2 linked regions of the Struthio camelus genome follow. The protein of the gene in region 2 purifies or fractionates together with the protein of the main gene of each other region. This does not show direct contact. Links are inferred from orthologs where the notes say so. Each region holds a gene or a part of one and is shown on either strand. Other genes may lie near its edges.

The links. Proteins that work in one complex are often made in the same cells at the same time.
Region 1: the proteins of CD9 (region 2) and ITGA6 purify together in Homo sapiens (co-immunoprecipitation; 3 studies listed by BioGRID and IntAct, with this or other methods). This does not show direct contact. The link is inferred for Struthio camelus from reciprocal best matches to the Homo sapiens genes CD9 and ITGA6.

What each region holds. Positions count from the first base shown.
Region 1 is NC_090947.1:22,649,646-22,657,554, reverse strand, and holds the start of ITGA6 (integrin alpha-6), read left to right. Parts: upstream 1-4,902; 5' UTR 4,903-4,992; coding exon 4,993-5,153; intron 5,154-7,909. UniProt on the Homo sapiens protein: Integrin alpha-6/beta-1 (ITGA6:ITGB1) is a receptor for laminin on platelets. Integrin alpha-6/beta-1 (ITGA6:ITGB1) is present in oocytes and is involved in sperm-egg fusion.
Region 2 is NC_090942.1:83,042,642-83,049,647, forward strand, and holds the start of CD9 (CD9 antigen), read right to left. Parts: upstream 3,057-7,006; 5' UTR 2,801-3,056; coding exon 2,735-2,800; intron 1-2,734. UniProt on the Homo sapiens protein: Integral membrane protein associated with integrins, which regulates different processes, such as sperm-egg fusion, platelet activation and aggregation, and cell adhesion.

The sequences.
Region 1 (7,909 bases), on a different chromosome or scaffold from region 2:
CTCTCCCCTCCCGCCATGGTTCTTGTCAATCTCTGGCAACTTCTGTGCAAACTCCTTCTCCTTGACTGGGCTTTACCACCTCTGTGGCAGCCAAACAGCCAGCTGGTCGCCCTCGCAGCTGGGTGTGATCCACAGCCTCATGGGGAGCAGGTGCAATGAGTGTACTAGTGACCAAGCAGCAAGGCGAGTTGGGGGTACCAGCTGTGCTGTGCTACTACAGTAAGCTAGATGATGACCTACAGTCCAGATCCCTCAGTTGTCTGTACTCCTTGGTCTTGGGCTTTGCAGATCCTGTCCTAAGGCTAGGTCCTGTGTGTGCAGCACGTGGTGCAGTTCCTAGAGATAAGTTGTGTCAAGATTGTATTGAGATGTGCTTTAGGTGATAGCCAAAGTCTCTTTAGCCAGAGTCTGTGTGAGCTAGGAGAGCAAAAGTATTTTGTCCTGAAAAATGATTATATTTGACTCCTGATGCAGTTAAAACATGTCCCTTGAAGACTCGTCTTGCTTCCTGATTTCCTGGAGAAGAGTTTCCAGAGAGAGATCCCATGACTATCTTGCTTGCGAGCCTTCTCTTTTCCTCCCCAGCTTCCTCCCAGTTACCTACCCAAGAAAGATTTTACTTATTTAATCTCCTCTGCTAGCCTATGCCGTGTTACCCAATACAGGTAACCTCTGTTGACTCTAGATCTATAGGTTTCCTTTACAGAGAGGGTATAGTCCTGTAGCCTTGGCAGTAAGAAGACTGACACCAAGCATCAAGAAGGCATTTTGACTGCGAGGGCAGGGCCAGTTGGAGCAACGGCTGGCTGCTTTGGGCCAGATAGGCTGCAAGGCCTGCACGTAGATAGACGTTGAGGGAGAGCTGAGTAGATTCATTGCCCGAAAGTGTGCATCTGGTGTTGGGTTATGCCTCTCTCTTTTTGCAAGGAGGCCCTAGTGAATAATGGCAAAAGCAAGCTGAAGCAAGGTTTTGTGTGTAGCACAGTGTTGTAGATCAAGGGGCATGCATGGTATAGACAGGTAGTGGGCACAGTGCTAAAAGTCTCTCCAGCGACGATGCAAGAGATTGTGGGATACGTGCCTTGCTGAGAGAGACCCAAAACGGGCTCTCTCACCAAAGGTGCCTTTGATGTGTGTAAGGTTGTTTAAGCTTAGGCTGCCCTTATGGAGGGGGATCTTATGCAGCTGTGTATGTGGCCAGTGCGTTAGAATATGTAGGCATATGCTCAAAATGACTGCAGTTTTAGGCCTCAGTACTTCTTGAAGGAACATCCTTAATTCTTTCTACAGCAATCCAAAGTATTGTTTAGTTTCCATTTGCTACCAGCATTTCTCTCATCTCTGCGTAGCTACACTCAGAAAAAGTGCCTGCTCCAAGCGTGTTTGCAAGGATGTTTACTCTCCAAACAGTTTGCGCTAGCTATTCTAAAACTACTTAAGGAATGTGACTGACAACTTCAGTGGAAAAATATTCTCTGGTTGTAGAAGACTTAAAGAAACTGGTACTCTGGAAAATTGGGAGCTGATGTAGAACAATTTGGAGTCTGGACAGAAATTCTTCTTTCATCTCAGATTTTTGTGTGTATAATATTTTACATATTGTATATAAACATGTTAAAATCATGACACAAATTGTTAGAAGTCCAGACATGCAGTCCTTAAGGATTTCAAATCAGAAATATCACGTCAAATTCTAAATAATCTATCTATAGAGGCAAAATGTTTTTACTTTGTAAACCCGTAAAGAATGACAGAACGATGTCTATAGTTCTGTACATTCAAAAGAAAAATAAGTTATAAAAACAGCAATATCTTAATTTGGAACTGAAAGTCATCTGATTAAAACAATAAAGCAACAGGTAGAAAAAGTTGCATTTTAGGAATCTTTTTGAAAATATAGTAAAGAAAGAGAGATGAGACACTCCTTATTTATTTACAAATGATATAAATATGACCAGAGTCAGTTCTGCATAATTCAGAACACCAACGGTGCAAATACAGCTATTTAAACACTCTGGCTTCTAAACTGTTCAGAGCAAAACACTTTGCGCATTTGTTATTGAGCACATTACCTCTCCTACTGCTGTTTGCTAGTCCTAACATCACTGTTAAAACAGAACTGAGAACAGCAGTAAAGGAAGTTCTAGCAAAAATAGCCCAATGGCCCCGGATGCAAGAAAGACTAATAGCTTGACTGTTTATTGTAGCTCATGAGATGTAGCCATTCAGAAAAAGTAAATAATTTGGAGAACAAGCAGTTCTAAACATGGTATGTGTGTTGCATTCAGAAGGTGATCCAGGTTAATAACACTTAAAAGTAGTTTATGGTTCTGAACTGAAACTCTTTATGGCTTTAGAACTTGCACAGTGAAGCAAACCTTTCTGGCCTATTTCAATTTTTCATCTGGAATTTTATCAATTTTAAGGTCAATTTTTTTAAATTAAATGTGAGGGAGATGTTTACATACTTTTGCTTTTCAGAACCATTTGATGTGCTGCATTAAAGCTGCACAGCTGAGTATCCACAAGTTGTGTATTTCTTTGCATAAGGTATTTTCTTCATATAAATGAGAAAAGTTCAGAAATGTAAAGCATTGTTCCTTCTCTGGCACGGCATTTTAGGCTTTCCTTAAAGCTCTAGCTTTTCCATCCCGCCTCTTCTATTTTCCAGAACTTATTTTTTTGCTTGGTAATTAACTACACAGCTGTCTAGAGGAGGAAAGTATTACTGGCACTAAAGCTTGCTCAATACGCAGACACAGCAGGCAAACACCTTGTAGCCCTTTGGCAGAATACCAACATACCATTAATAAGCAAACAGCTTGAAAACTCCGCTATTACAAAGCATTTGTTATAGAAAAAAAGACTCAGCTTTGATCTGGCTAATACTTTTCATAGAATCACCACAGTATTATGTATAGTACAGTGGTCAAATTTAATTGGTCATCATACCTAATCTTTGTCCCCTTTTATACCGGGATGGTACAAAAGAGGAACTGCTGAAGTGTGTTAGTTATAGATAACCCACAGTGGGTTGTTTGTTTGTTTTTTTTTTTTTTGGAAGAGCAAAGGAAGGAAATTGGGATTTTTCAAACTTTCCTCCTCCTTATCTAGAGCAAATTAAAATAGTACAAAACAGTGAGAGACCATCCAAGGTAACTAAGCTGTTTGTGTGCGATTCTGCTCCACCCTGCGTACTGTCTATTTTTGTTGTTCCTGCTGTGGTCACTTGAGACAGGTTTTAATATATCTATGTTTTGGAATGCTTGTTTCTGCATCTGGAGATGAGAAAACTCTCTCACGCCTCAGCAACGTCTACGGATAACAACAAACTAGTAAAACAAGTCCAGGCAATGCTGGTTGGAGAGACGGAGGGGGAGAAGTCAGATGAACCTAACGTGCCAGTATCACTCAAATGGCTCTGGATACAGCGCGGTATTTCTGTGACTCCTTACAAAAGTTATTGGGTGCAAGTACTAGTGTAACTATAGTTACTGTAAGAGTATTATAAGCGTGCAAGTTTAAATGGTCCTGAAGGGCAAACTGCTAAGACTTTGATACAGCCATCAACGCTATTTTAAAAGACTTGTTTTCAAATCTTTGCTAGTTACGGCACAGTACACAGACAGTAGTGAGCCTACTCTCTTGAAATTAGCCCAGGACCCTTCCCTCTTAAGAGTCCTTTAATGAAATCACAGGGCAGTGTTTATGCCAGTGCAGTTTTCTGCCATGGCAGCAGACTGCCATGACTGTAATGTGATTGAAGGCTGGATTAAAACTTTTAATGAGCTGGGCACAAAGAGCAAGCAGGGAAGGCTACTATTAGAAATGAATGTCTAGGAGCCTAATTTAACAAAATGTTTTGTTTCTGCATTAGATGCACATTTTTGGTGCATTTTCTCCGTTCTTGTGATCAAGGGTGTTTTGGTCTTGTGCCAAAGACTTGCCTATACAGGGAGCTATCCTAGAATAATTACTCTGGAAAAAGTAATCTGGATTAGCTCCGTGAAATAGTAATATTATTCCAGAATAAATTATTGGGAATATTAACAGATGCGAGTGCTCTGCCTCAGCTGCTCATCTCTCTTTTGCTGGACTCTTGTATGTGAAGAGAGGCTTCTTTTTCCGCAATTTAGATATTCGTGGAAAAGAAAAATGTATTGTCACGCTGCTTAACGTCTGTAAGGTTTTAAAAACCTTGCCTTCAGTTTCCTAATCCAGAGTGCTAAAATAGTTACAAATGGGTATAAATCTCTCTCAGATGGATAAAACTGTTAAGGCGTGCTTGCAAATATCCTTACAGGGGTGAGCGGGGAGCACGAGATAAGATGATATGGGATGTAAAACCACATACTACTTTCAAACAAAGCGAAGGGGTAAAAGAACTCTGATATCTCCAAAGAGTGGAAGTGCTTGAAGGAACGAAGTTTAAAGAAGGCTGCCATGCAGGCTGAGCCTCTGCTTCCACGTTCTCTGAAGCCCTCAGAACAGGTATATACGCACTGATTCCTCTCGTGTACGTGGCCTTCGGGGAAGACAGGCTCCAGACACTAGATACACCTGTACGTGCGCTGCCCGGAGCCCAGCTTCCTCCTGCTGCGGGACGGCGTCGCGCCGCCGGCCGTTGTAACGGCTGCGGCCGGCGGGCCCCTGCCGCGGCCGTTGTAACGGCTGCGGGCGCGCGCGGCCTGCGCCGCCCCTAGCGAGGCGGTATGCGCAGAGCCGCCCCCGCGCCGCGGGGGTGAGGCAAGCGCTGTGCCCCTGCGGGGACCCGGGAGACATTTTGTGCCCTGCCCGCCGCCGCTGAGGGGCGCGGGGCTCCGCGGTGGGAGAGCCGCGGCAGCCGGCGAGGCCGGAGGAGGGGCCGCGGTGGGGCCGCCCCCCCTCCCCCGGGGCGGAGCCGAGCGGGGCCGGGCCGCCGGCGCACAACGGGCGGCCGCAGCGCGGGGAGCGGCGGCGGCGCGCGGCAGGTCCCGTCCGCGGCCGGAGCAGATGGCGGCCGCGCTCCTCTTCTGCCTGCCCCTGCTGCCGTGCCTCGCCGGCGCCTTCAACCTGGACGCCGATAACGTGATCAGCCGGCACGGCGAGGCGGGCAGCCTCTTCGGCTTCTCCCTGGCCATGCACCGGCAGCTGCAGCCGCAGGAGAGGAGGCTGTAAGTGCCCCCCGGCCGCGCCACTGGGCAGCGACCCTCCCTCCCTTCCCTCCCGTCTGGAAACTTCGCGGGCGGGCCGGTCCCGTCCCCCCGCGGCGGGCCGGGGCTGCCGGCCGCCGCCCGCCCTGGCGGGGCGCTCGGGGAGGGGGAGCCGCCGCTCGGAGGGGCGGGGCGGGCACCTGCCGGCCGCCGAAACCGGGCAGGACCTGGCGGAGGAAAAGGAGCAAATAAGGCAAAATCCTCCTCCTCTTCCCCCCGCTGCGGGCCGGGCGGCACGGTGCGGCCCGGCCCGGCCCGGCCCAGCGGGAGGTCTGCGCGGGTTTGAGGCCGGCCTCGGGCCCCGGGGGCAGCGCCGAGCCGCCCGCCAGCATGCAGGTGCCCTCGGGGCCGCGGGGTGCCCGTGCGGGCTGCTGGTTTTGTTTTCGCCTTTGGTGATGGCTCTGGTTGGACTGGGCAGCTTTTAGGAAAAAAAAAAAAAACAACAAACTTTGTTTGTTGTTTGTGTCGTCGTCGTCGTCGGCCCTCAACCCCCCCCCCCCAAAAAAAAATAGTGAAATTGCATTTCTCGACCACTTTCACGACGTGAACGCATACCAATATCTTGGCTTTATGTAATGCAAGCGCTAGTGTTCAAGACCGAACCTGCCTGGGAGTGAAAGCGGGAGATAATATAAGGAAGACAGGAAAAATAAATCAATTAGAAGCATGGGGGTGAAAGTCAGGAACTCCCTCTGGAAAATCCAAAGGCAAAATAAGGCTTCTTTGTACATCTTTGGGAGAGCAGAGAAGTCCTTGCCTGTTCATGACTATTTGAGCAGGATGTCTGACCCCACCCTGCACAACAGTGCTGATGGAGTGTGTCCTTTATTAGGTATTGTCATGAAACGAACGTCTCTCCGCTAATGTTTTGTTTTAATTTAAGGGAAGGTGAGCCTATAATCTAAATAGAACATATGGAAGAAGAAAGTGAGAAAGAAATTGTATTCTTAGTAAAGTTAGTCAGTAAACTTAGTTAAAAGTTCTGTGGACTCGTTTTGACTGAACTTGCATCCTATGTGATTTCATAGAAATCATAATATGTAAAAGAGTATAAATCACAAATAGCCAAATCCCATCTTTATTGTAGTACACAGAATGTCCTGAAGGGTATCCTAAAGGGCAACATACACACACATCTGTGATTCCTTTTCAGAATTCTGCATCATAATTCTTGGTAGGATTAAATGTATGTTGGCCTTCACTTTGTTAAGAAAATGATATCTGAACTCGTTAGCATTCCATGGTACTGTCAAATGCTGGTAAAATGAGTGTATCCCAATATGTAGAGAAGGAAAGCCGTTTACTCAGAAGATTGTAGAAAAGTGGTCATAGTGCTCAAGCAAGTCTGTAACATTTGGCTGAAATGCTTCAATGGTTATTAGCATGAAGGTTCTGTGTTGTATGTATAGTAAGTGCATTTTCAGTACCCAAAGGCAATCCAGATCCAGGGGCACAGATGCTCTCCCTGTTACTGATACGGCTTTATGAATCTAGGCTTTCATGAGAAACAAGGGTCTCTAACAGAGACAAGTCTAGACTAACAAACTATATGCTGTGCTGATACATACTTTTGAACATGAGATATCTTGACTTTTTTTTTGGCTTATTTGTGTGTTTTAGCACAAAGAAAGGTTGCCTAATAATTTGAGTGCTGCTGCGGGTCTTGGAAAACCTGCATTCAGTTCTTTTACATAGCACAACTACGTTACAATGAGTTTGAGGTTTTTTTGTTTGTTTATTTTTTTTGTCTATAAAAGTAGTAGTGCGTGCCTGTGAGAGAACAGGACATTAAACATGCTGAACTGTTTTGTGTGACACCTTCCTGGTAGAAACTGTGTAAGTATCTTTCATTGGGACAGGAGTATGTTAAGCTCCCTTCATGTAAATTATGTCTTATGAAACAGATGGGAGTTCTAATGGAGAAACTTGAAATGAGGGCTCCCGTGTTAGGCTGTGTGTTTGTGAACAACCAGATAAAAATGAGCAACGCTAAATTAATACTGAGCAACTTATTTGGCAGGTTCACCAGATAAGAATTTGGATTTCTAAATAGATTGACTGCTTATAGGTAGAACGAAGTGTCTACTATCTAGGCTTTCAGTGAAGGTGAGAATGGAGGTTCACTGAGAAACAAGTATATCTAATCCCTACATGTTGCATATTATCTGTAAAAACAGGAATTTTACTGATTTCTTTTCAGTGATGGAATACCTGTGCGTTCCCAGCTGCGTTCCTCTGGTCTGTGTTCCAGCTCTGTTGCAAAGGTGACTTTATGTCTGCCTATCTCTTGAGTCAACTAGAATGATACAATAGCAACAGCAGAAATAATTATTTCACCCTTCTTCTTGAGAGGATGCTAACTGCAAAGCTCAGTTACAGCTGTTTGAGTGTGAACACCGTTAAACAGTTGCCAAAATACTCAAAACTCATTTCATTGTTGAAACTTAATTAAAAGTGACGTTTCAGTACTCATCTGGCAGGGGCTGTCATTCCAAACCAAACCAAAAAAAACCTAAAGCACTTTATAAAATCAGAAATGAGTTGCAACTGACATGTGCAAGATCACAGCATCCTTGGGTAAATAAGCAAATGAGAAAAGTAGCAGTACCTGAACTGTGTTCAAGGGCTGCTTTAGTCTGACTCTGAACAAGGGTTCGTTAAAAAATGGTAAATGCTCCTTAATTTTTTTTCTGAAATCGCTTAAGTGAGTCTTAAGC
Region 2 (7,006 bases):
AAGAATCTAAGATATCCTCTATAGATAAATAAAACAGAGGTATGAGGTTCACTTTAACATTGCACTTGAAAAGCCCCTTCAGTAGTTTCTGTAAAGCACATACATACATGTAATGAGCCCTGAAAACCAAGGACTACTACTGTAAGTCACAGCTGCTCTACATATGTATTTATCCCTGAAAGATCCTAGGTGTTTTACATTTATTATCTATTGATGTTTCCGCTGCTTGTCAGGATACTTAGAGGAACAAGTATTAATCCCCCTTTTATTACTCTTATGGGGCCTCTTTTTTGCCCTCTTCCTTTTTGCCCTGTTCTCATTCAGTTTAAGAAGCTAACACAGCCAGCGCAGCCCACCCGCTGCTGGGAGCAGCGGCCACTTTGCTCAAGGAAGAGCTTCAGCAACAGGTCTGCTCCACGGTCAAGCTGTTTTCTCAGGTTTCAACAAGGTTAAGTTTAGCACCTCATTGAGATAAATACAATATCAAAAGCTACACAGATTACTTGTATTTTTCTTATGTTTCAGGATAACAAACATGTACTTAAACTGCCTAAGTGACCTGGTATTTCAAAATTGATTACAGCAAAAGTAGCACTTGATTCAGCTGCAAGTACCAGCACCGCAAATTAATTTAGAAGTCTGAGAGATGACACTAAAGCTAAGACATGTTTACAACATGCAAGGCATCCAAAAGTTTCATCCAGTGCACTGTTAGATGGTTTTTCCCTTATCAGTCATCCTCCTCCAAATATGAGGACTTTCCTCTCCCAATACCTATTTAAAGTTTGGTGAGTCTAGGATGGAAATACTTTCTGTGTCCTTGTAAAGTTTCCCCATGCAAGTTCCCTTGCTTTCCCTCAACTGCAGCCTGAATCCATCTTCACACTCTACTGAAACCAATTTTTAGCTTAGGAGATCAGAGCACTTTATCCATTAACACTGTACCTGCAATCATCCCATGTGCAGCACTGCTACTGACCACAGAAGGATTTTCTTTACACAGCTCTAAACTCATTTCTCCATATTGCAGGGTAAGTGGGTGTAGAAAACACACACGCATACTGCATTTATCCCTGAAGGAGATAGCCTAGAGGAAAATAACTTAAAAAGGGGGGGGGGAGAGGGAGAAAGAGAACAACCCAAAAAACAACACACCCTCAAAACCCACCTGCTCCTAGAAGTAATTCCCTTTGAGCTCACACTTCACATCTAGAAGTTATGCATGCAGTGCTCTATTGCATTCCCTTTGGCCTTTTTCCACAAAGCAGACAATATTAAATTCAGATGTGGCCGCTTCTCAAAGTACTTGGGGAAACAGACAACTTCTTAATTATGCCATGCTTCCTGACATGGCATAGCTGACTAGAGGTAGCCATGCCAGAAACTACACTCAAGACAGCTTTCACTTGCTGTGTCGTGCTCTTCAGATTAAGCTATTTTAGGACTTTCTTTAGGAAATGTTTCCTACAAGATTCGAGGCAGCAGCTACAGCTTTAGCTGAAGTTCCCACCAAGACGAGTAAGACGATCATGATCACAAGCTCCAATTTGCACATAGCTAGTTCACCACCCCTTGCCATAGCCTGCTCACCTAAAAAGACTTCAGCTTTGCGAGCAAGTTAAACTCAAGGAGAGTTTCTGTGCAAGTGTTGTATATGCTGCTGCGAGGGAAAAAAAAACCCGAAAAACTACCTTCAACTGCCGCATTTCCCCCCCTCCGCCCTCCTCAGACACATCAACAGGGAGGATACACAGTCTGATAAAAGGATTTTCTGCCTATGGGTCTAGGAAGGGAAGTTTTAAAAGAGTAACGAGCTGGGTATGCATCTTATTCGAATGCCTCTTGCTGAACGTACCACGCTAGATATCATAACCGCAATATACACATCATATTATTGAGCACATGAGACACAGCAGCAGCTTCGCTAGATCCTCCTGCACTTCCACAGCCGCCCGGCCGCCTTTAATCGCGAGGCAGGGAAACTCCCCGGCCTTCGCCGCCACCTGACTGCGTGGGCGTTTGTCTGCACCGCCGCCGCGGGCAGGTAACCAGCACCTGGCCGGCGGCCCGGCCCGGCCCGGCCCCTGGCAGCGGGGCTCACCGACGGCGCGGGGGCAGCGGCAGAGAGGCGCGCAGCGCGCCCCGGGGCGGCGGGCGGACCTGCCCCCGGAGCGGGAGGGAGAGCCGCCCGCGGGCGCGCCGCCAGCCCGCTGCCCGCCGCAGCCGCCGCGCCCGCGGGGCAAGACCCGGGGCGTCGAGGCGTCAAGGCGGCAGCAGCACCCCCCCACCCCTCCCCACACCGCTGCCCCGGCACCGGGCTGCGCGGCTCCGGGCGCACGCCGCGCCACGCCACACCAGGCCGCCGCTCGGGGAAAAACTTCGGCAGGGCGGGAGCGCAGGGAAACCCCCCCCACCCGGGGGGGGGGGGGAATGGGGAAAACACCTAGTTCTCTCAAGGCGAGGCGGGGGAGGGGAGGAATGAAATTCCCCTCCCTCCAGCCCTTGCACAGGGTCACCCCTCCTATCCCCCCCCCCCCCCGGACCCCATGGGCGCAAGGGGGAAGAGGCAGGCGACGCAGGGCAAACGGCTCCTTCCCAAGGGAAACACGTCGGGGCAAGGAGAAACCGGAGCCCCTTGCTCCGTGAGGCGAGCCCTGGGCGGGCAAACACCCCTTGTCCCGGGCACGCCGGAGGGCTCCGCGAGGCAGGGTCGGGCCGGGCGGGGGCCCCTTACCCAGAAAATGAAGTTGAAGCCGAAGAGCAGGTACTTGATGCACTTGGTGCCTCCTTTCACAGGCATCCTGCGGGCCGGCGGGGGAGAAGCAGCGAGCAGCAGCGGGGCTCCGAGCTGAGGACGGGGCGCAGCGCGGCTACTTTCCCACAGTGCCACTCCTTAAATCTGCCTCTCGCCAGGTCCCGCTCCGCTTCCCCTCCCCCGGCTCCCCTGCTCTTTAACCCGGCCCCCTCTCCTCCCTCTGCCCCTGCCTTTGCCCTCCCTCCCGGAGCATTTGGCCCTCCCTCCTTCCCTGCTGTGCATTTCGCCCTCCCTTGTCCACTCTCCGCCCTTTCACCTGCCTCTCCGGCTTGCTCTGCCCCGCCGGCACCTTTGCCAGCCCGCCGCTCCGCGCCCCGCGGTGCCCCCCGGTCCCGCGCTCCCGGCCCCGGGCTGCCGCCGCCGCCGCTGCTGCTGCCGCCCCCGCGCTGGGCTGCTGCGGGGCAGAGCGCAGGGCAGAGGAGTCAGGGGAAATAGTTCTCGCATCATCGAGAGTTGCTCTACCAGACAGTGATGAAACAAGGAAAGACGTGCAAAAAGTAGACGCATCCCTACGATACGCAGGCCAATACTTTGCCGATTCTTGCATGGATTTAGTTAAACAAACTTAAATGCCTCAGCCCAGCTTCAATGGGTAACTTTCTCATGCAGGATACACTTAACAACAAAGTTAACAGGTAAACTGCTTTAATCTCTCAAATACGTCTGTAAAAGTTATGAGCATGGAATTTAGAAAGATGAGGTTATACCAGCGAAGAAGATATGTTGCTGCCCGTCAACTGATCCACAGTAACTGTTTGTGCGTATGCCTTTATTTCACCCGGTTGTGAGACAAAACACATTAATGTAAATTTCAGTGGAGAAGTTCGCATTGATTTGAATTGGAAGTTCAGCCCTCGGCATCTGATTCTTACTAGGGTAGTAATGAAAACTGAGGGCCCATATCTCAATTTGTCATTATTAAAGTAATGACAGAAGTTATTGAGAGTCAAAAAAAAAAAAAAAGCAGAACAGAAAAAAACAGAAAAGCCACTGAAATGCAAACAAAAACATGTTGATGCTTTTGTTGCCAAAATAAATGATAACGTGAAATACATTCCAGAGCTAATACAGTAGAGGAGGGATTGAATTGGACATCAGTTTTGCAGAGAAGGTTGCAAAATATTGATATGTTTCCATTAGAAAACAAGACAGAAAAATACATAGCTAGGAGAAATTCAGAGAGAGAGCGCATACAACTGTACATGGGGAAAGATGGCAGGCTGCTGCATTGTTGTTTGTGAATCAGGCTTGGCTGTAGCTAAGAACCAAAATGGCCCAAAGGCCCCAGTGTCCCAAGGTAGGATAGTGGGGAGCAGGGTCATGTTAAATGATGCCTTCTTAGCTTTCTGCTGCTCTGATTCAGGGCCTTTGATTAAAAGACCATGTAGTACAGAGGGTCACGACCTTGACCCCGAGAGAAGGACAAATACCACTTAACCCCTCACAAAACGCTACCTAAAGCATTTGGGTTTGTTATGGAGGTCAGTAACGGGCAAAGGAGAAGTAGAGGCTGGCCACAACGGTATAGATCCAGAAAGGCTGATATTAGTAAATGGAGGTGACTAAAGCTCTTCTCCAGGGGTAACTATGGACTAAACACAGATGGTCAGTGAACGTACTGTGTTTCATTCTCGACTGTGACTAATTTTCTATATCACTTTTAAAAATTTCTCCATTAATAATTTATGCCTCCTAGTCAATGTCAGTAATGTTCCTTTTCTTAACTTTCTAAAATTTTTGAGCGCTTTAGATAAAAAAAAACCCATGATATTATTAAGCTTTTCATGCTTACACTGTGTTAAAGCGGCTCCCATGAAAATCAGGGGTGGTAGGTACCTTTTCGATTAGAAGAAGAAATGGACCTGATGGATCAAAACATCCTGTGAGTTTGTACTTACTGAAATCCAAAGTTTCCCTGCTCACCCAGGAAATTAATTTATTAAAAGATGGAACTGATGTATTTGTTTTTAGTATGAATAGCAAGATACTGCTAGCAAACAGTGTGGGTTTTTTTGTGTTTATTTCCTGATTACTGATTAGGTTTCATGATCCAAATGGTTGGACTAAACTTGTAAGAAACTGTATACAGAGAGGGAAAAGCCCAATCTTTTGTCTTTACATCTTCAAAGTTATTAGCAATGCATTACTAAAAGGAGAGGTATGTTTTAGGGTTTGAATAAAAAACTGTAATGTAAGTGACATAAATTGAACTTAAGGATATGGAATGGAAAGAGTTAGAATCCATGCTTATCTCCTTTTTTTCTTTCTTTATGAGGGTAAGGAGAGGACATTCATATTTCAGCCTTTGAGCGTGTAGTTCTGCCATTACTCTCTGAAAGTAATCTGAACTTCTCTGAGCATTTTGGAATGAGATAGTAATCAATTGAATTTCTGTATAATAGAAATCACTGTTGGATATCTATGGCCATTATAAAATTATTTCGTAATGATTTGTTATTTTAAAAGCTTGTATTTACATGGGAGAACAGGCCAAGACAATTTGCACTACACATTTATTATCTGCACTTAAAATTATAATGGATGGTTAAAGTGTTATTTTCTCCTAGTGTATCAGAGAAGGGCAAATTCAGGACATTTCTGTCAAGGAGAAGTCCAAATTTACCAGAAGCTCTTTAAAATTACCTTTCTAATCATCTAGACAGGACGCTGACTTAGTTTTCATCTACAGATAACCCAAATTATTTTTTTCTATTTTAATTTGAAACTAAATTCAAATTAATTCTTGCTGTGCCACTAGTGAAAAAGTGTGTGCTTCTCACAGAAAAGCACCTTCTCCTCAGGCTGTGCTATCCAAAGAACTTTGATCCTTTGATTAATAGTGAGGGAAAACAGAAAGGGTTCCTTCGCCACCTGTATTAAAGGATACTGGAAACCACTAGTAAGTACTGCAGACGCGCACAGTCTTGCAGCCTCCTTGACCACTTTTCCCCCTATGTCTACCTTTGTGAATATATGGAAGGACTTGTGTCCGCTAACTCAATTCCTTTAATATTCTTTGCATAAACAGTTTCAGATTTTTTAACATGTTTCTTCCAGCTCCTTTCAACATCCAGGCACAGATGATTCTAACCACCGAGAGACAGACTGCAAAGCTTTCCTCAGTGAAGGATAGAGATTAACAGAGGTTCTTGAGAAGTGCAGAGCAGAGTAGAAAAATAATAACAATTTTCATCTTTGTAGAAAAATAACATCTCTTATTGTTCAAGCCAGTCACAAAAGAAAGAAAAAAAGGCCGTTTTGTTTGCCTTTTAACTTCAGTGAAATTTTTTTGCTTTGTAACTTGTGATTGTGGTACGCTCTGTCCAGGGCTGGAGGCAGCGATCAGGCGAGCAGAGGGGGCTGCACAACCGCACAGCTTCTCTGCTGTCATGTAGCTGAGAGTTTACAATGACCCAGACGACAGCAATGTAGGGATCTGCGGCCTCCTAATTCCTTTTACCCCTTGAAGTCCTGAGTACATCCATGTACCCCTCAGTTTAAGTATGTTAGTTCTTCTGATCTACTCCTTTCAGACAATTTTTAAAGATACTTATTTCTATTATTTTAAATGCTACAATAATTTGGAGTAGGGTGATACATGAGAGAGAGTTGTAACATGTAAGTTTTCCTGTTGGTTTTTCCCTTTGGGGCTGTGAGGGACAGAGGTTGGTCTTTGAGCTGGAGCATCAGGATTTTCATTTCATTGCAAAACTGGCTCATAGGATCAATCATCCTGGTAAGACAATGACAAAAACACTGTCCTTCTTTCACAGCTGAAGGAAAAGCGTTTGGACTTTGGTATCCATAGCAGCTTGCCTTCTGGATGACCTCATGCTCTTAGCAATTCTGTCCATCATGGAGGTTTGTCCGCCTTCTGACGTGAGAAAAGAGCTTTGAAGACTCCACAAAGCCCCATGAGATGTCATTAGAAATTGGGTCCTCCTCTACCACTGGAAGTATAGCTAGAAGTAAAGGCCTGAAGCCGGATAGATATTTAACTTTTCTGTTTTGCATACTTTTAAACTCAATTTTTAAAAGGAAGGTTTGAATAAGATTAGAAGAGATTTAGGCACATCTTTTCAAGTATTTAGTGCAAGACCTTTTGTGTATAATACATTAGGAGTCAGAATGTCAGGAGTGCAACTTGAAAATCTCTGTGCGCACTTAGGAACTCTTAAGAAATTGTTTCAT